5 linked regions of the Coturnix japonica genome follow. The protein of the gene in region 2 purifies or fractionates together with the protein of the main gene of each other region. This does not show direct contact. Links are inferred from orthologs where the notes say so. Each region holds a gene or a part of one and is shown on either strand. Other genes may lie near its edges.

Region 1 (3,514 bases), on a different chromosome or scaffold from region 2:
TTATCATCAGTGACCTAATTCAGCCACCAGTATGCCATGGTCATCTCTTAAGAGTGAAATAACCACTTGGAAAGCAAAAAGCCAGTATACATTTCAGCTACCCAACAAACCGCATAAGAAACGACTGAATGTAGATAGTAGTGTTTTTAAAATCAGGCAGTGCCCCATAAACGTATCTAGGCAGTTCAAGACATTCACTAATGTTTAGAAGCAGCAAAGTTGGGTAATATTACACTTTCAGTGACTCAGTTGAAAATGGCAGACTTGACATTGCAGCATGGAGATTCAATGATCTCAGAACACATCTCTCTTTCATCCCAGTGATTCCACAATGCAATCCCCAGGAACCAAATTTCTCAGCAACAGTTCTCAAGCAAAGTTGCACATTCTAGTGTAATCTCTCCTGACTTACTTCCAGCTAGCCTGTGCAAGTTAGTTTCAGTTCTTAAGCTGATTCACTGTAATTCAGACTATACCAAAGAGCTTGTTACAAACCTATTAGTTGAATGTTCCATATGTCTTTTTCTTGAGCAACACGAATATGCGAGAATTTTAAACATGTCAGTGAAGGCACTACCATCAGGTGGCTTTGTGATGAAGAAACTCTGACCACATAAGAAAACCATGAATGAAATTCCAATGCAAACTGTTGGGATACTATATCCAATTACGAAGCTCACATTCTGCTGAATGTAAGCAATTCCTCCCAGAGAGAGAATAGCTCCCAAATTAATGCTCCAATAAAACCAATTAAAAAATCTTCTTGTGGCTTCTGGACCTCGATCTTTGACCTGGAAAAAATTAAAAACAAGTTGTTCAATTTCTGAAGGAAATTAAGAGTGTTTATTAAATCAGATTGCCTGAGATTTCAGGCAGTGAAAACCCCATTAAATACCTTCCCTTCTATCAATTCAGCCCAGGTCACGGTGTTCTTTTTCGGCTTGAAGCGTTTCTCAAACATAAATAAGACATCTCTACCTTACAGAATCATCCTGCACAGTTTTTACCATCACTCTTTATTCTCTGTTGCCTACCATAAGTCGCCCCATGTGATTTAGTCACAAGAACTCAGCGCAACTCATAAGTTGTGATGTAAGAGAAATTATGCAAGTTAAAATGTGTAATACATTAAAAAAGATCAACTTGTCTACAAAAGATTCCATCACACCATATTTGTCACCGTTTTATGACTGAAAGGCCATTAGCATTGACCATTAGGTACCATGCACTGGGCTTGCTGAGTCACTTGTTGATGACTTCTAATTTCAAGTTTCCCTTCCTTATTTTGCCATATCTTGAAAAGATTTGCGTTTAGTTTGCAATACAGAAAACAAACTAGGTCTTGAAACACGTTTTTAACGTTGCCAGCTCTGATTTATAGCTTCAACTTTCTCAGTGGTGCAGAAACCTTACTGTATCATTTAAGCAAACTGAACAAAAGAAATATTAAAGCACTTATTCCTATGCATGGTTCACAGCATTGCTAGGCACTGAAGTATGCAAGTCAAATACAATCTCAGAGCCTGCAACTTAGAAATTCCCCTTCTCCAGTGTTAGTTTGGTACCTATTCCTTCATCTAAAGGGTCATCAAGTGTAGCAGTATATTAAACTAGGTATTTCTCCCAGATCCCACGTGACAGAAGGTATTAGCAAAGAATTACATCATAGAAAGTGCTCCAACTTGGGTAATGAATTATCAACCTTTTTGACAAAGGTTTTAATTTCTTCATGATAAAGTCTCAGTTCTCTTACACTTCCTGCAAAAAAAAAGAAAAAGACTTCCCATCCTCTCTCACAAATGACCTTTCTTATGGCTACACAAGGACAAACAAAGATGTGAAAGCAAGCTTTGGTACAATATAAAAACAGGCAAAGCACAGCATGGGATTTCTATCAAGTATTATCCCAGCCTCCAAGTTGGAGCTCCTGACAAATTTGCCAAACCAAGTATAGCCTCCATCTACTTAATGACCTGCAGCTGAATTTTCCCCCCTGTTGAACTTGTCCAGCCTGCCCCCTGAACCCAGGTCAGCTCTTAGAATCCATAACAGCTTGTGGCAAAGAGATCACCATGTAATTACGTGCTGCAAACATCATCATTTATCCATGCTGAACCTGCCTCATACTAGCCTTGCTTGTGTTCCCTACCTCCAGAAGGGAGCTCGCTGAGATTTATCCCACCGCTGATCTATTTCTACCCCTTTCATTTTCATAAATTGCTTATATCCTCCTTTTAGCTACCTTTTCTGAGGTAGTTCTAGGAAGTTATAGACTTCTGCACGGTTCCTTGCACAGAAATCACTGACCGTGACTGTGGCTCTTCCCTGGAACTTCCCTGACCTTCTCCAGGATCCTTTCTGAGATAGTCACCAAAAAAGAACATAGATATACCACAGACCTCCAAAGAAAAGAGTTCACATCCTGCTTTCCCCTGTTGGCTATTACCTGAACTCCGTGACAGCACAAGATAGATTTGTTCTCTTAAGTGTTCACTGAATGAACAATAAATATTTGTTTCTCTCTTCTGTTACTAATACTGTAGGCGATACATTTTAATACATGGTCAAGAAGAAAAACATATTGAAGTTCATTTTCATTTAGCAAGGACAAGCATTTTTCCCAAAATTGCAGGAATTCTTTTTCCCTTTATGCTTGCCTGCATTATTTTCAATCATCCAAGCAGAAAGAAGAATCTGCCCTTCCCTCTGCTTATTTTCCTTGGTGCTCGTGCACAGCAGCACTGTCCTTGTGGTACCAACACCACCAGCTTCATTATATTCTTAATGTCTTCCCTTCAGCTGCAGCAGGAAAGCGATGCACACACGGGGCACCAGAATGATGTGTGTCCTGGATCAAACCTGTCCTGCAAGTTGGTCCCATATCCCTATGCTGAAAGTCAAAATAGGTATATTTAACCTTTTTGACCCCATCACAGCAGAAAAGCTTTAAATCCTCAGCAATGCCTAAAAAGCACTAAATGTACTACAACCATTTCAAAGGTGCCCCAGCTCAAAGGAATAACAGCCATATCTAATGCCCACAATGTGATTGCTGAAGGTAACAACAACAAAAAAACCCCAAACCCAAAGAATAACAGAAAATGAGTAACTGTAAGTGTTCTGGTCACAGCTGCATTGTCAATCGTTGACCAGCTGCCCTTGCTGCCTGCACTGAGGTGGGCCTCTAAAGGGGAAATAAAACTGTTTTGCTGTTCTCAACACATCGAACATAACTTTTGCAAAAGAAAGTTTAGCCTAAGCCTTGAAATTTCTGCTGTCCAAACGGTCATTTTCTTGATATATCTGATAACTATCCTTTACATGTAGCTAATCCAAATGCAGAAAGAAAATCAATACGGCATGCTGAGTGTTATAATTGGACCTAGACAGCACTGGATTTCAAAACAGTAAGGAATGCTTCTCAGAGCCAAGATTTTGAACACAAAACACTTATATTACACCGATTATGGTCAGATGAGATGCAATTACCACCACAGTTCTCATGCTAAAGAAT
Region 2 (4,314 bases):
TCAAAGTAATCACCCAGGAAGGCGCTGCTGTCACAGCTCTCTGAGGAGTGCTGGGCTTGTGTTAAAGGCACAGCTCAGTGATTAAATCATGGAGGTCAGGACGCTGGTGAGGGTGATGTCCCCAGCGATGCAGAGCTTGGTCACCTCGTTCAGCCTCTTCTCACGGAAGTTGAACTGCAGCAGATGAGCATCGTTGGCTGCCACCTTGAAGTGATCCCCCTCACAGAGCACCTGGAGCTGGAATAGAAACATCAAGTGAGCCAGAATGGAACCAAGGAGCACCGGTCACCTTTGCTGCACTGCAGGAGCCTGACAGCAACCTGCCCCATGGTGACAGCACAAAGAATGCAATGAGAAATGGGAAGAACAGCTTTTCTTTCCTTCTTTTATTGTTACCTTGAAGGGGGACCCAGGTTCAAATGGGAACCTAGGAGCTGTTCTCTCCTCCTTCCCCCAGTTGTTGTTGATCATTGAGTTACAGACAATGACCCTTTTGTGGTCTTCGTTGAAACGGGGGTTGAAGTGGAAGGCAATGTCTTGGCCCCTCTTGAAATCCAGCGAGAACCTGCCAAGGCAACAATCAAAGAGCTGCTTTTTCAGGTAACGACAGAGCAGTGCTGGAGGATTTAAGAGACTCTTTTGTGTCACGTTTGATTTCAGAGAAGCTGGATGTCATTCAGAAAGCGAACTCTGCCCCTAAACACTGCTGCAGCCCGTCTGTACCTGTTGGGATTTGGGTTGATGGTCCCGGTGATGGTTATGAGCAGCCGAGGCACCAGGCCTGATGGCAGGGGCAGATCGTAGGGGACTTTCTGCAGAGGACAGGGATGTGGTGTGAGCACAACAGCAGGTTAACGAGCAGCACAGGACTGACTGTCAGACAAGGGCTGGGTGTTGGCGTGACAGCAATGTGACAGCAATGTGACTGACTGCTCGTGCAACCTGCTGAGGACATTCAGCTCCAGGTCCCTCCCACAGCCCAGCTCAATGAGGAACTGCTGAACCAGAAACCCTTGAAATAGGACAGAGCTGTTACCAGTGGAGCGGATGGAGTTCCAGAGTATGGTCCTGCTGGTCCTCCAGGGTATGGTCCTGGTGGTCCATGATGTGGTCCTGGTGGTCCATGATGTCCTGGAGGTCCATGATGTGGTCCCGGTGCCCCCGGGTACGGTCCTGGTGCTCCAGGGTATCCAGCACCTGGGTACCCAGGGTACGGTGGAAAGGCCCCAGGTCCCGGGGGCTGGTTCCAGCCCTGGGGTGGGGGGGCACCAGGGTTGTGAGCAGGCAGAGCATCGGAGAGCTGGGGATGGAGGGGAGAGGAGGAGGGGGAAGAGAAGCAGAATCCAGTGGGGCTGCCAGCACATGGCCTGCATGGCCTGCACAACACCACGTGCTGGTGCTGAGAGCCCCAAAGTCCTTGAATGCACCTTGATTGGTGTTACACGGATTGGCAGCAACGTGGAATCATAGAATCACAAAATCATTACGGTTGGAAAAGACCTTCACAATCAGCATCAGCCCTCAGTGCCACATCCCCAACTTCCCAAACACCCGCAGTGATGATTTCCCCACTGCAGGTCCCCACCTCCATGCAGTGCCCCCACAGAGCCCTGTGTGTTGGAAGGAGCCGATACTCACAGAGAAACCGTCCGACATTGTCCTATAACAAAAAAGACAAAGGATGGGAAGTCGTTTTATTGCCCTCCCAGCTTACACGGCTGGTGGTGATTCACCATCTACACCATAACCAGGCCCAGAGGTGCCTCATGGTTCCAAATCCAAAGAGCCCGGCCTGCAGCTGGGATGGGATGGGAGAGGAGGGTCCTATAGGGGGACCCCCCTGTGCCATCCCTATGGGGACACGTGGGCTGCAATGGGATTTACAGCCACCCCAAAAGGCGAAGCTGCGCCGTGCAGAAACGCTGCGGCCTGAGGCTGAATTGCTGCTATCAAAGAGTGCATTCATGAGCAAAGAGAGAAGGGGGGGAAATAAACGGGGAGAGGCAAAAATGGGAGGGAAAAAGGAAAATTCCGAATGGAAAGTGGCAAAGTTCTCTTCTAAAGCAACACTGAGCAACACCAAGGGCTGAGTAACACCAAGGGCTGAGTAAACCCAGCCGGGCTGCTACAGCAATACGGAAATCAAGCTGAGTTTCCCCAGCACCAAACTCTTCCTCCAGCAAAATGCAATGCAGAGCCTGCGTGACTTCCAAGCAGGGACTTCCAAGCAGGGACTTCAAGCAGTGACTTGAAGCAGTGACTTTCAAGCAGCCCTTCGGGCACCAACTGGCAGCGATGACTTTCAGCTGCCCCCACTTTGCCGTGCAGGATTTTGCCCTCTGCTTTTCCCACCCCTCTGCTTCCCATGGTGCAGGTCGGGCCTCTCCAAGTTGGGCTGTCCCAGCTCGGCCAGGCAGGTGCCAACGAACCCCCCGAGTCCTGAAAGTCCCACTTTATAATTCATAGAGCGGTTAAGGCTGGAAAAGACATCTAAGATCATCGAGTCCAAACCGTGTCGACACCCGGCTCAGCCTTTGGGAGAACCCTTCATTGGGAAACCATTTGGGTTCAGAAGCAAAGCAACGTGCAGGATGGTGGGCAAAGCCGTACAACCCAACTGCCCAGGGGTGGCAGCTCCGTCCAACCCGGTACCCGCAGTCCCAGAGCTCCCCTACTCCCCTACCTGCAGCTGTCGGGCCGCGCACCAAGGCGGGGTGTCGGGCTCTATGTTGGGGCCGGGCAATATCCCCACCCGGAGCTGCCCGGCCCCGGGGCGGAGCACAGAGCACGGAGCATTGAGCAGAGCCCAGCCCCACGGGCAGCGCAGCACCACGACACCCGCGGCGTCCCCTCCCAGCGGTCTGAAACGTCACCACATCGAGCACCGAGGGCTTGGACGCATCGATGGTTCCGGCTCATTGCGGGTCATCACCCACCCCGACAGCGCCCGGCGTGAGTCATGGGATCATAGAGCCATAAAACCAACAAGGCTGGGAAAGAACTCGGAGAACGAGCGGCAGCCGATGGCCCAGGGCAGGAGACCAGCACAGCGGGTTGGATTCACTCGTGATTGATCAGATGGAGCCATGGCAGCTGTGCAGTGCTATGCAGTGCTGTGCAATGCAATGCAGTGCTGTGCTGTGCTGTGCAGTGCAGGCTGATGGTGCACAGCCCAGGATGGGGCTCTTTTCCGAGAGGTTCTCCTGTTTTTCTCCTCCTGCTGCAGTTACACAACGGCCACGGTGTTACGAAATCAGAACTGAAAACAGGAAACGGAATCTGAGCGTGGCTCCGTTCCTTCGTTCACCTGAATGGGCACAGGACGGAGCTGCGGGGCTGATGGGTCGGACCGTGAGGGCACAGTTTGCTCCCAACCCCCCCGGGTTTCTCCCATCGCATCCTTTGATCAATCCCGAATCAAACCAGAGCTGAGCAGTGCAGCTGAGCCCTGTGTGCTCCCCCCGCCCCCGGCGCTGCTTTCCCAGGACATCCCGGCACCGCCGCACCTTAAAGCAGCGCCCAGCACTCCGCATTTCCCTCTAGGAACGGCCCTTGATAGGCTGCCCTGCAATCATCCACGGAGCTTCAGCCTGTTAAACTCCGTTTATTGAGGGGATTTGGCGTGATTGCCTCGTAGCGATGTTTGCTGTGCGGCTGCCAGCTGGGTCAATGGGCTGCACAGCTCAGGTTGGGAAAGGGAGGAGAGGGCAAAGAGGTCGTTGAAGATGAAGAAGTGCATAAAACCAAGTGGGGGATGTGGCTCTGGGCAGCCTGGGCTGCTGGTTGGTACCTGCACACAGCAGGGTTGGAGCTGGATGGACATTATGGGCCTTTACAACCCATTCTGTGATTCTGTGTGTTTCTGTCATCCCTGAGGACACTGAATTCCCCCAGAGGCAAAAGTCCCCACCTGAATGGGAGAGTTATTTACATGGGCTTAAATCACATCAAACCCAGAAACTGCTGACTGGAAATGAATGATTCCCATCTATTTTATAGGGCTGTTTGGATTTTAGTGAGCCCATAAAACTGCAAACCATCCAGGCTGGCAAAAACCTTCGAGGTCATTGAGTCCAACCATCAGCTCTAGCAGTGAACCCCACCTCCCTGCACCTCCAGGGATGGGGAGCTCCATCACCGCCCCAGTGCCTGACCCAGCCCATCTGCACCAAGAAACTCCTCCATGGCCAACCAAAGCCTCTCCAGCACAACTGGAAGCCGTGTTCTCACACCCCGTCATTTAACACCTAAGAGACCAAAAGCTCCTCATTGCCGACCTGCTGCCTTTGTAGCTCCTTTCTGCTGGGCAATAAG
Region 3 (3,514 bases), on a different chromosome or scaffold from region 2:
CTAACTTGTTCTTCTAGCATTTGAAATGAAAATTTTGAAGGTAAACTTACGCTCTTCTGTCATGATCAATCCTGTTTATTTTTCCACCAATGAACACTCTTATCTTACACTCTTTCCATTTTTTCTTGGTTGTAATAAGATAAGGAATCAACAGTGTCAAACCTGCATTTTGATCAGAATTTAGGAATGTGTCAGAAAATACAGAAATATAAGAATTTAACAGCAGCATGTATATATACAATCTGAAAAGTATTTATTAAGAATTATTTTCAAATCACTTCACCTTAGTAATTCTTTCCAGCAGTTTTAAAATATAAAGTATATTACCTCCATCATCGAAGAGCCACCAGACATCAATATTGCTTTTGCCCTGTTTCTTCTGAAACTGACTACTAGCATCAAGAAGTCTTTGGTCAGCCACATTTAAAGGAGAAGATGGGGTCCTCCAATCTAGAAAAAGAAAAAAAAATCCCACAAATGTTCATTTTAAAGTGTTTTAGTTAATAATATTAAAATCTTGCATTTGGTTTTTGATATTTTGCATTTTTACTTAAACCATTATTCCCTAAGCTCCAAATTTGAACTGAATGGATAGAAACTGCTACATTTAAGGAGCATGGAAAATCCTAAGATCAGTAGTTAAAATTTAAACCTCTTAATCATTTAGCAGACATTTGATAAAGGATTGCAAGGTCTTGATATACTCATTTGCCTGGACAACTACATTTCATACATATTTCAGGACTTTAAGCAACTTGTTGTTGCTACTTCTTTTATATGAAGTACTTCCCTGAAATTCATGTAGATACTAATTTATGAGGAAATACCAGCTCTTCATAGATTATCCCAAGTTGGAAAGGACTCACAAACCCTGGCTCCACAAACGACCACCCAAACACAAGTGGTCCTTTAGCTGCAGTAGCTCAGGGCTGCGCCCATCACCCTCTGATGCACAACCTTTTCCTGACCCCCAGCTGCCCCTCCTTTCCCTGACACAGCTCTATGCCGCTCCCTCGGGCACTGATATTTCCTCAAATTCTTCTTCCTTCAAGAAGAGAAAAGAAAACTAGTTCTAAACGTCAGAATAACCTGCAAAAGTAATTTTGTGTTTGCTAGGCTCTGAAGCACAAAACAGGTTATTTTCTGCAATGATGTCATTGGACTTACTGAGAAGACAACAACACTGGCTTTTTTCAATTACATTAATACATTATTACATTAATGAAAATATATTTTAAAATAACAATTGAAAAAGACAAAAGACAAATTAACTCCCTCCCCTTAGCTAAGATTCTAGTTTTAACAAGAGCTGGGAGTTATTCTGAAATTTAGAGCATATCTGTACCTGACTTACTAGTATTCTACTTTACTGCTTACTGGGAGTTTCTCCAAACTGCCATCTTGTGGCTTAGGGCGTAATCTCACATTATGCTATTAAAAAACAAGGGTTTCTAGATGTTGAAATTATGAAGCAAACATCAAATAGGACAAGATGCTTTTTAGGTAAGGCCAAAAAAAAAAACCAAACCCCCAAAAAAACAGAACCTCCCCCCCCCCCCCTCCCCCACTAAACCGTGCTTAATTCTCAAAAAAGTCTGAAATAAACTAGGTGAAAATTCACCTCTGAAAATGCTGCTAATCTGAATGAATACTTCACATTATTTCAGATGTTAATCTCACAGATTGGCTACACTATCCTTTGCTTTGCAAACTACTGAACAACTCAAAGCAACAAATACAGATTTAGAAGATGACTGAATAGACCAACTAGGCACTTCCACTACATAATTAATACATCTACTGTACCCAAATCAAGTTGACTCCGACAAATACCTAAGACATGAATAACTTAGGAGGCTCCTGAGCACACCTAATCCCCACAGATGAAGCAAGTTTCAAAGCAAATATGAAGAAACAAATTGAGCTTGCAAAGCTGATATTTTTCTGTCTTTCAAATATACGTGTAGGATGGAGTACAAAAGGAAAACTGAAATTAACAACGTGAAAGTATGATTTAACAAAAAGGTGAAAAATGCCTGCCTTTTTTCAACAGGGGTTGTGTTGGAGTCTTTCCATCCTCGTCCTCCTCTGGAGATTTTTAAAGATACAAAATAAAAAGGTTAATATCCTCTGTGATGTTAATGAAAACAGTACAAGTGTATAAAAAAAAAACAAAGGAAAAGAAAAGAAAAATGAAAATGAAATGGATTTTCATACAAAGAAAACCACACGAGTTTGGTCTACCATGTTCTGAGAATAATTTGTATTTGAACACAATAGTAACTTAATCATATTTCTCAATAGTTAAGTCAGCCCAAAGTTTTACTTGCAAAAGAAGAAGAAAGTTGGTTATTGTCATGTCAAGTATCCCAGATGATTTGTGTTAGTTAACATGCAGATAGAAATATACTCAAGCCTGAGGTGAAAACCACCATCATGAATTAACCAGCCTTAATCATGCTGCTAACAAACAGCTGTGAGGCCCAATTCCCAAGCAATTTTTATTGGCATTCAATCTCATTAACTAAGAAACAAAAAAAGGTAGTGCTGGCCTTAGGCCATCATCATTTTTATTTAGGTCATAAAAATATGATATACATACTTGTAAGCAAAATATTTGAGCTATTAGATATCAGCACCCCAAAAAGAATGACAGTTTCTCTGTTTCACAAATACAACAAAAACATCAGAAGGAGAGAGGGACTGAAGAGGAAACAAGAGAAAGAATGAGAACTCAAATTTCACTGCTAACTAGCAGTTAGCTACTTTAGCTAGTTACCTCTATGTGGAGCAGGAGTTCTCTCACTAGACGATGGCACAAAAGCTACAGAAGTGTCTGTTTCAGCCTTCTTGCTATAATCCACCTTCACTATCACATCCTTGGAACATGGAGATTTTTCTTGGGATGACAGTAACTCTTCTTTGGGAAAGCAAAGAAATGCATTATAAACCACTGACTTGTCCCAAATAGTATAAGATGGAGGTCTGTGACTATAATTAGATGGTTTTCATTTAGCTAAACAGCTCAATCCCACTGCCCCTATCATGCTATGGCAAAGGGGGAAAATAACAAAAATAAACCTCTACCACAAATGAACAGCTTCTGAGTACAAAAAAATGCACCTGCTCTGAACAGAGCTTTAATCTCCTTCTACTTCCAAAATTTTAAGCTTTGAATACATTACTGAAGGCTAAATATCAAGCAGAGCTACCAAACACTGAATTAGGACAAATGTCATGTTTGTGCTCATTACCATTAACATGATGTGTAGCAATGTAATGACAGGACCTCTAGCTTAAATAGAATTTGAAAGTGGGAGCTAAATATAACTGAGTAGTATAACTGCTAGAAGTATTTCACATTGTGGTTAAGTTTCCCACAAGAGGAAAATCCTCTTAGAAGTACTGGATTTTGGTATCTGTTACCAGCAAGCACAGAAATCCAGACAGTGTAAACATAATGTTGACAAGATGTGTTAAATCTGAAACACACCACAAAAGCACTGCATTTTTA
Region 4 (4,071 bases), on a different chromosome or scaffold from region 2:
TGAACTACAGACTGGTTCTGAACTTTTGTGCAGGAGCTGACCCTTCACTCTCTCTCTCTCTCTCTATATATATATATACATACATACACACACATCATCTGCCTCAACAATTTCCTTGTCTTTCAGGAGAATTCATGCTTAAATATGAATGCAATAACTTACTTGAAGATAAGCAGGTTTGTCATTGATACTCCTGGTAACTGGAGGTCTCCAATTTAAGAACTTTTTGTAGGAGTTACTTGTCATATTCTTTTGTAAATAAGGCGCTGCTGTTGCCAGGTAAATAACATCATGGGATGCTAGTTATGCTCTGTTATGTTGAATGGCTAATGAAAAACAAATTTGTATATACCTGTCAAAACCCTGAAACTGACTGACAGACATTCACTACTGATATGTGTAAAGATAAGGGGAAAAAAGCCAGAAACTCTCAAAAAACTTCATTTACTACAACACATTCCTCTTTCTTCCCTGCTTTTACCAGTTATTATTTCCTAACCACCCTTCCTTTGCTTGTATGGAATTACAGTGACACTGAGCAACACAAGCACATACAAATTCCTCCTGCTACTCTGTAGTTACCAGGCTCCAACCTTCAATTGTGTTGCTCAATTGATAAACCAATTTCCACACTTTTGTCCCTCATTCTTCATCACAAATCCTACTTTAGACAGTACTATAATCCAACCAAACAGCCACTCACCTAAACTTCACCCTTCTTCACACAAATACAGGGATCATGCAAAAAGAACACTTCAGAATTTCATATGTTTATGAAGGAGTGAAGTAAGAAAATCTCAACTTACTCTGTGATTGCATAGGTTATCAGTAGAGAACGCCTGAATAAATACACAGAATAGTTGATAAGTATCTCGATAACAAACCACCAGGAATATTTTATTGGTGATTCAATGGCTTACAGGCTGTTTCTACTTCCTTCCAAAACAATTAAAAAAAAAAAAAAAAAAAAAAAAAAACACACAGAAAAGAACCAAACACAAAAGAAACCACTACAGCAGACAAGTCAGTTCCAGAATGATTACTCATCTTTTACGTCAGATAATTCAACTAAAACAGATAAAATTCTAGTTAGCCCAAACAATAAGATCATATAGGGCATATAGACTATGGGTGATCTGAAGAGAAATGTTCCATTATACCTCTTTTCTTACTCCCATCCCGGCTCTTCACTGTATCCTCCCTCCACTTTGTTACAGCTCTAGTAATTGTCATATATTTTTGCAGCACTCATTCATCTCACTTCCAAGAACAGAAGCATGTTTTCCTCCCACTGTTTGAGTTTTTCTGCCAGTTTAGCATAAGCCTTTAGATGGGCTTAATCACGGTACCTTTTAGCTGCCACTGACATTAACAAAGCTTGTATTTAGGATTCTTTAACATTCTCACAAGAATGAGCTAAGGATAACTATTTGATTACAAAGCATTAATTTAACAATCTTATGCATTACAGCTTTACACAGTACACACATCCATATAATACCTCAAGAAACATTAAGCATACTGCTCATTTCCTCAACCCATGAATCTGAGTACAGCAGTTAGTCTGACTTACTGAAATTAGACTCAGAACATGTTTTGACTGTTCAAAATACCATGTAAGATTCAATCAGTTTTCATGCTGCTAGCAGCAGTTCAGGGACCATACTTGGAATTACTGCTGCAACATGCTCTGGAAAGAGGAAGTGTTCAGGGCTTCTCAGTCAAAGGAAGAGTTATTGCTTCCCCAGACAAGCCTTACTGCCTGAGTGAGAAAAGAGCTTATTTAACCCACCACTGCTTGTAGACAAATATCCATCCTGACACACAACAGGCTACCCTGAAGAGCGTCCTGCATACAACATTACAAAGCTTCACCTCAGGCTCCCTCCTGCTCACCTTGGTAACTTCAGGGGTGAGGCCTAGCAGAAGGCAAGGCTCCTAACACAGTACTGCCAGGCAGCAAAAGCCTACCTCACCTAATAAGACATAGATGCTGGTGTAAAGGCGCACAGCTGGCCCTGAAACAAACCAGGTACAATTACACTCTTCTCCACAACCAGAAACTTTCCCTCCTGCCTCTTTCTCTAGCAGGACTTGACTTTTAAAAAGAGACATATCTTTCCTGCCTGCGGCGCTGGTTACTCCTGTTCTCGGTAAGGCACGAGCAGACGCAGAGGGATTATCGCGCTCCCCGCTCTCCGAGGGCCGCAGCGCCGGTCCACGCTTCGCAGCGCCCCTCCCGAGCTGACCCGGGAGTACTTCCTCGTCTCGGCCAGCGGCGGCTGCAGCAGCGCGTGGAAATAGAAACTCTCAGCCACCTCTTGCATTGGACTTTCACCCTCTCCCAAAGCGCAACTTCCTTACCTGCGTAGGCAGACCCGACGCCACCCTCTACGGCAAGGAAACGTATCCGCTCTAACAGTCGGCACGGGCCCCCCGGGAGAGACTCGGCCCGCTTCACACAACCCAGCGGCACCGGGAGCCTCGCTCCCTCTAACGCAGAGACGCGGCGCTGCCCTCACCCAAGTGCCTGATGCCGCCCTGCTCCCCTCTCTCACCGGAGCCCCGGTCCCTGTTGTCCTCTTCCTCCTCCTGTCGCCACACATCCCGCTCCGCCGAGTCCCGCTCCCCGCCCTGTGCCTCTACCGGCACTACGGTGAAGTTGGTCGGCATAGCGCGCCGCCGAGCCGCACACGATCCCGGAGCACACAGTAGCACCTCCTCCCTCCCAAGGTAGCGGGCAGGGTAAGCTCAGCGCTACCGCCTCCCTCACGTGAGAGCCGTTTCCTCAGGCAGCGGGAGGTGGTGGCTTAGTGCCTGTCACCACCTCCTACCACCACCGCCCCCTTTCTTTACTGAAAGCGCTTAGGCCGAGGCTCTTATGGAAAAGGCGGGGGCCGCTTGGGAGTGCGTGCACGGGAAAGGAAGGCGAGATACGCCGAGGTACTGGCAGGAGTAAATAGGTCCAGCTGAGTGCCGCTGTGAAAGCGGCCTGAGGAGGGTGTGTCTGTTTAAGTGCTTGAAAGCTAAACTGGATTATTTAGTTTTATTTGTTTGCTTTCTAGCTATGGCTATTGGGCATGGAAAAAAAAAAGCTGCTTCTCCTGTGTCAAATCTTGCCTTATATATGTGCCTGCAGCACTAGGACTGCCACACTGTTGCTTCTCAGCAGCAGACAGAGCCTATTTTTCTTTGCTTTCCTCCTTTCCCAGCAAAGCACTCTAACAGAGCAGAAGGATCCCATCGTTATATACTAATGCCTTTTGTAAGAGGACTCAGGTCTGTGGGTCCCATACCTCAGTGGTATACCTACCTAACACAGCAATTGAGTAGGGTCCCATACCTCAGTGGGACCACAGCAATTGAGCAGGGGCCTCCAAAGAAGAAGGTGGGGAAAGCAATTCTGGCCATCAAAGATGGTAGTGAAGTCATAGATGTGGAGGCAGTAGGGCTCATGGCAGGTCAGCAAGAAAAGAAGAGGGAAAGAGACAGGACAATTGGATATTTCATATGGTCTTGGTAGATCTGCCCCCATCCAAACTATGGTATAACTACAGCAATGAGAGTGTAGCAGCATGAAAAAAATAACTTTGTCTTAGGAGTATCTTTCTCCTGTACTTTTCTGGACTCCAGAAAGTGATTGGAATACTGCCTTCGTTAGTGACAGTAGATTAATAGTGTTATTAATTTTACTGCAGAGGCAAGGGTATTTTGGAGCACGTTTTACTTTAACTTCATCATGGAACAGTTGATTATCAAGATTAATAGTACTAAAACCAGAAACAATTATTAATTTTACTGACATGTAATTTAAAAATATATATAAACAAATAAATTAATGTACAATGAAGATGATAAAAACTATATCACAGATGGTAGAATGCTGAGAAATTAGGATTGCAGTGTTCAGTTCTGATTCAACCTGATACAACTTCTATGTATATGAAAAGTCAACAGCTAAAAAATGAGAAACCTTGGAACAAACAACTTTTGAATGAACAGAGGGACTGATTTCTTTTGAAGCTTTCTTCTGTTGTAAACATGGAGATCCATGTGATGAAGAAAAGGTGT
Region 5 (3,239 bases), on a different chromosome or scaffold from region 2:
GCGCTGCAGCGAGTGAGGAGATACTGTGATCCTTCCGCCAACCACAACAGAGAAGCAGAGTATGGCCATGCCAAGCAGCGAAGAGGACAAAACCATGACAAGGACTTACTGGTCCCGGTTTGGCGGTTTCCGGAGCTGGTCAGCTGTGACCCGGGCTGAGAAGTTGTAAAATTGCATGACATTCTCAAAGTAGAGGTCAGACACGGCATCGTACTGCAAAAGAGCAAGGTGTGAGCAGCACGCAGCGAGGGCCCAGCCCCACTCCTCCCCGCATGGTCACATCTGAGCCTCTGGAGCCAGCTGAATCTCATTTCTCTTCCCCTCAAACATCTGCAGAACTCCAGGAGGACCATGAATCACCATTACGGAAACCAGCTCCTCAGTGTCTGGGCAGGGATCCCAAGAGGCCCGGCTATCCCAGAACCAGCTGCAGCAATCTGGGAAGTCTCCAGAGAGGGTCCAAGGGCACAGCGAGACCCTTTGGATGTGGGGTCAAGGCAGCCCTGGGGCTGTGGCCATGGGCTCACACACCCTGCACATCCTGGAAGGGGAGACCCAAGGGACATCATCTATCAGAGCAACTCACATCGTTAAAGACTTTGTCCAGCTCCTTAGGGTCCAGGATGAACTTTGGGTAGCCTATCATGTTGTAGATGGCATCCGCCTGGGGTGACAAGGATGGAGGTGCATTTGGTGCCAGGTGGGAGAATGGGCTGGTCTCCCTGCTGCTGCTGCCGGCACCTTACCTTCTCTTTGGCCGACTTCCTCGTCTCCTCGTCCATCCACTGCAGGTTCTCCAGGCTTTCCTCGAAGGCTGTTTTAATCTCTGCGATCATTTCCTCTGCCTAGACAAAAGAAAGCAGCACGTTTTGGCCTGGAGAGCTGGCTTCCCATTCGAATAAGTCCAAGGACTGACACAGAACCCTTTGCACAGAGGGGAAGAAGACTGGGATAACACAATGGGCAGCTCTCTCAGCATCAGGGCCTCACGCTGACTGTGGGGTAGTGGGGACGCACCACCTGCTTGCTGTCCTCTGCAAAGGTCGCCTTGACAAACGTGGCCCCCAGGGCAAAGCCCAGGTTGTTGTCCGTGTCACTGATGCAGAACTTCCAGCGTGGCAGGCAGGTCTGCAAGGGCAACAGGAGGCACATGAGTGGGAGCACAGCATGGCTACAGCTCCCCAGTGTTCACACTATGAGATCACTATCACCAACCAGAGCTATGACCCCAAAACCCACCCCATGTCCATATCTGGGTGCAATGTGATGGGGACTTTGCTAAAAAATGCTGTTTTGTAGGAATGCAGTTACTTGGAGGCATCGGTACTCACCTTCTTCGTCCCATACATCACTTCCATGAACTTCTCTTCCGCATCCTGGAAGCGCTGGTCGAGGAAGGGGCTGGTTTTACGCACCAGGTTCCAGATCATGTAGTTGTTGAGGAGGCTGTGGCAAGAGGCAGTGAGCAGGGAGCAGGATGTACACCAGGCACCTCTCCATGCAGGTGGGGGGCTCTCACCATTTATCTGTGGCCAGGATGAGGTCAGAGACCTGCTCCAGGTACTCCTTGGCATAGACCACCACGGGCTCTGACTCATTGAGTTCCACAGGATAGAAGACCGTAGAGAGGAAGGGCATCCAGTCCACAGCTGGTGCCAGATCCTGCAAAAGCCATGCTGCTGCTACGGACTTAAGAGCTATCAGCAATGGTAGCCTCTTCCAGAGCTGGTGGCTGTTACATCAGCTCTGCTTGATGGATTTAGCTGATTTTGAAGAAACCATTTCCCATAGCAGCAGCATCCTCCAAAGGTTGCAGGGAACTAAACAATTTCCTCCCACAAAGGAAAAGAAAGCTGGGCGGGTGTGAAAATGCTGACAGTGGGGTGGGGGGGAGTCACATGATGGCCCTTTGGGGACCAGGGGAGGTAGTTGGGCTGACGTCTGCAGGGCAGCACAGCCAGGAGGGCGTTTGCGCCTCATTGGGATGGCTGCCAGTCCCAGCAGCACTCTGGAGTCTGGGAGGAGTGGGTTGAGGTGGGGGAACAGGCCAAGCTATTGCACAAGTACTTCCCAGTCAGGCCTTCCCTAGGGGAGCTGCATCACCTCTCCACCAGCCCTGCTCCAGGCTGGGCTGCAGCAACACAGCAGCCCCACTGCGCTCCTACCTTCAGCTCTCCAGCTGTTATCTTGTGGTAGATGACCTCCTCATCCCGGTGCTTCTCCTGCGGGATGGTGATGTTGGCCAGCGCTGTCTCAAATTCCAATATCTGCTGCATTTGCTGCCGTGTTGACTCCTCATCAGTGCCACCCAGAAACATGCCCAGCTGCACCATGTAGTTCAGGTATCCAGCGAGCACCTGTGAGGGGATGAAGTGTCACCCATAGCTCAGTGTGATCAGGGCACCCAACAACCCCAACCCTCCCACCCCTTCCAGCCCTTCCAATCCTCCCAACTCTCCCAGCCCTCCCAACCCTCCCACACCTCCCAACCCTTCCAGCTCTCCCAACTCTTCCAGCTCTCCTCACCCTTCCAACCAACCTAAACTCTCCCAATCATTCCTATTCTTCCAACCCCCCCCACCACCCTGACCTTCTCATTCTCTGTCTTGTTCAGGTAGTAGTCCCGTGACGGCAGCCCCAGCCCTGACTGGTCCACCTGGATGACATTGCTGTTGGAGTTCTTGGAGTCGGCGCTGACGTAGACGGAGAAGAACGGTGAGACGCGGTAATGCGCCGTCACCTCCCGCAGAGTCACGTTGAAGTTGTCCCCCCCGGCCCAGGGCCCAGTGATGTTCCATCCTCCCAGCTGAGGAGAGACACTCAGTCAGGCACAGCACCATGGGGATGTGTGACAAGGAGCTGGCAGCTCTTGGTGCCCGCACGGCAGAACGCACCTTGGCGATGAGCTCCATCAGCGGGGCAGCGCGCAGCTCCTCGATCTTGCTCTCATTCATGCAGGCCTGGTAGTAGCGCTGTGCCTTGCGCTCTGCCTCGCTCGACACATTGGCCGTGGTGTTCTCTGCAAGATACACCCAGGGCGGCTTGTGGGGGCACACAGCACTGGTGGGGGGCTGCAGAGCCCCTGGTCCTCTGCCGAGTGCTCAGCCTCAGCTTAGACAACAGCTCCAAAAGAATGCTACGGATCACTCCGTGTGCCCCTGGGACATCCCACAGCCCCAGCCCTGCCCCTGCCCCCTCTCCAGCAGCTCCAGTTCTTTGTAAGACAGAGATAAAGAAAG

Evidence for each region.
Region 1: the proteins of LGALS3 (region 2) and SLC15A4 purify together in Homo sapiens (affinity purification with mass spectrometry; 3 studies listed by BioGRID and IntAct, counting the BioPlex papers as one, with this or other methods). This does not show direct contact. The link is inferred for Coturnix japonica from reciprocal best matches to the Homo sapiens genes LGALS3 and SLC15A4.
Region 3: the proteins of LGALS3 (region 2) and SLC12A2 purify together in Homo sapiens (affinity purification with mass spectrometry; 3 studies listed by BioGRID and IntAct, counting the BioPlex papers as one, with this or other methods). This does not show direct contact. The link is inferred for Coturnix japonica from reciprocal best matches to the Homo sapiens genes LGALS3 and SLC12A2.
Region 4: the proteins of LGALS3 (region 2) and SLC12A7 purify together in Homo sapiens (affinity purification with mass spectrometry; 3 studies listed by BioGRID and IntAct, counting the BioPlex papers as one, with this or other methods). This does not show direct contact. The link is inferred for Coturnix japonica from reciprocal best matches to the Homo sapiens genes LGALS3 and SLC12A7.
Region 5: the proteins of LGALS3 (region 2) and ECE1 purify together in Homo sapiens (affinity purification with mass spectrometry; 3 studies listed by BioGRID and IntAct, counting the BioPlex papers as one, with this or other methods). This does not show direct contact. The link is inferred for Coturnix japonica from reciprocal best matches to the Homo sapiens genes LGALS3 and ECE1.

What each region holds. Positions count from the first base shown.
Region 1 is NC_029530.1:3,153,876-3,157,389, reverse strand, and holds part of SLC15A4 (solute carrier family 15 member 4), read right to left. Parts: intron 792-3,514; coding exon 496-791; intron 1-495. UniProt on the Homo sapiens protein: Proton-coupled amino-acid transporter that mediates the transmembrane transport of L-histidine and some di- and tripeptides from inside the lysosome to the cytosol, and plays a key role in innate immune response.
Region 2 is NC_029520.1:51,128,934-51,133,247, forward strand, and holds the start of LGALS3 (galectin-3), read right to left. Parts: upstream 2,806-4,314; 5' UTR 2,684-2,805; intron 1,661-2,683; 5' UTR 1,657-1,660; coding exon 1,639-1,656; intron 1,301-1,638; coding exon 1,037-1,300; intron 813-1,036; coding exon 724-812; intron 566-723; coding exon 397-565; intron 238-396; coding exon 82-237; 3' UTR 1-81. UniProt on the Homo sapiens protein: Galactose-specific lectin which binds IgE. May mediate with the alpha-3, beta-1 integrin the stimulation by CSPG4 of endothelial cells migration.
Region 3 is NC_029547.1:50,498,804-50,502,317, reverse strand, and holds part of SLC12A2 (solute carrier family 12 member 2), read right to left. Parts: intron 2,921-3,514; coding exon 2,780-2,920; intron 2,089-2,779; coding exon 2,041-2,088; intron 451-2,040; coding exon 328-450; intron 163-327; coding exon 51-162; intron 1-50. UniProt on the Homo sapiens protein: Cation-chloride cotransporter which mediates the electroneutral transport of chloride, potassium and/or sodium ions across the membrane. Plays a vital role in the regulation of ionic balance and cell volume.
Region 4 is NC_029517.1:72,929,555-72,933,625, forward strand, and holds the start of SLC12A7 (solute carrier family 12 member 7), read right to left. Parts: upstream 2,810-4,071; 5' UTR 2,674-2,809; coding exon 2,523-2,673; intron 835-2,522; exon of another isoform or gene 820-834; coding exon of another isoform or gene 807-819; intron 1-806. UniProt on the Homo sapiens protein: Mediates electroneutral potassium-chloride cotransport when activated by cell swelling. May mediate K(+) uptake into Deiters' cells in the cochlea and contribute to K(+) recycling in the inner ear.
Region 5 is NC_029536.1:5,760,363-5,763,601, reverse strand, and holds part of ECE1 (endothelin-converting enzyme 1), read right to left. Parts: intron 3,020-3,239; coding exon 2,895-3,019; intron 2,807-2,894; coding exon 2,591-2,806; intron 2,358-2,590; coding exon 2,166-2,357; intron 1,663-2,165; coding exon 1,520-1,662; intron 1,447-1,519; coding exon 1,332-1,446; intron 1,129-1,331; coding exon 1,018-1,128; intron 846-1,017; coding exon 747-845; intron 665-746; coding exon 587-664; intron 214-586; coding exon 110-213; intron 1-109. UniProt on the Homo sapiens protein: Converts big endothelin-1 to endothelin-1.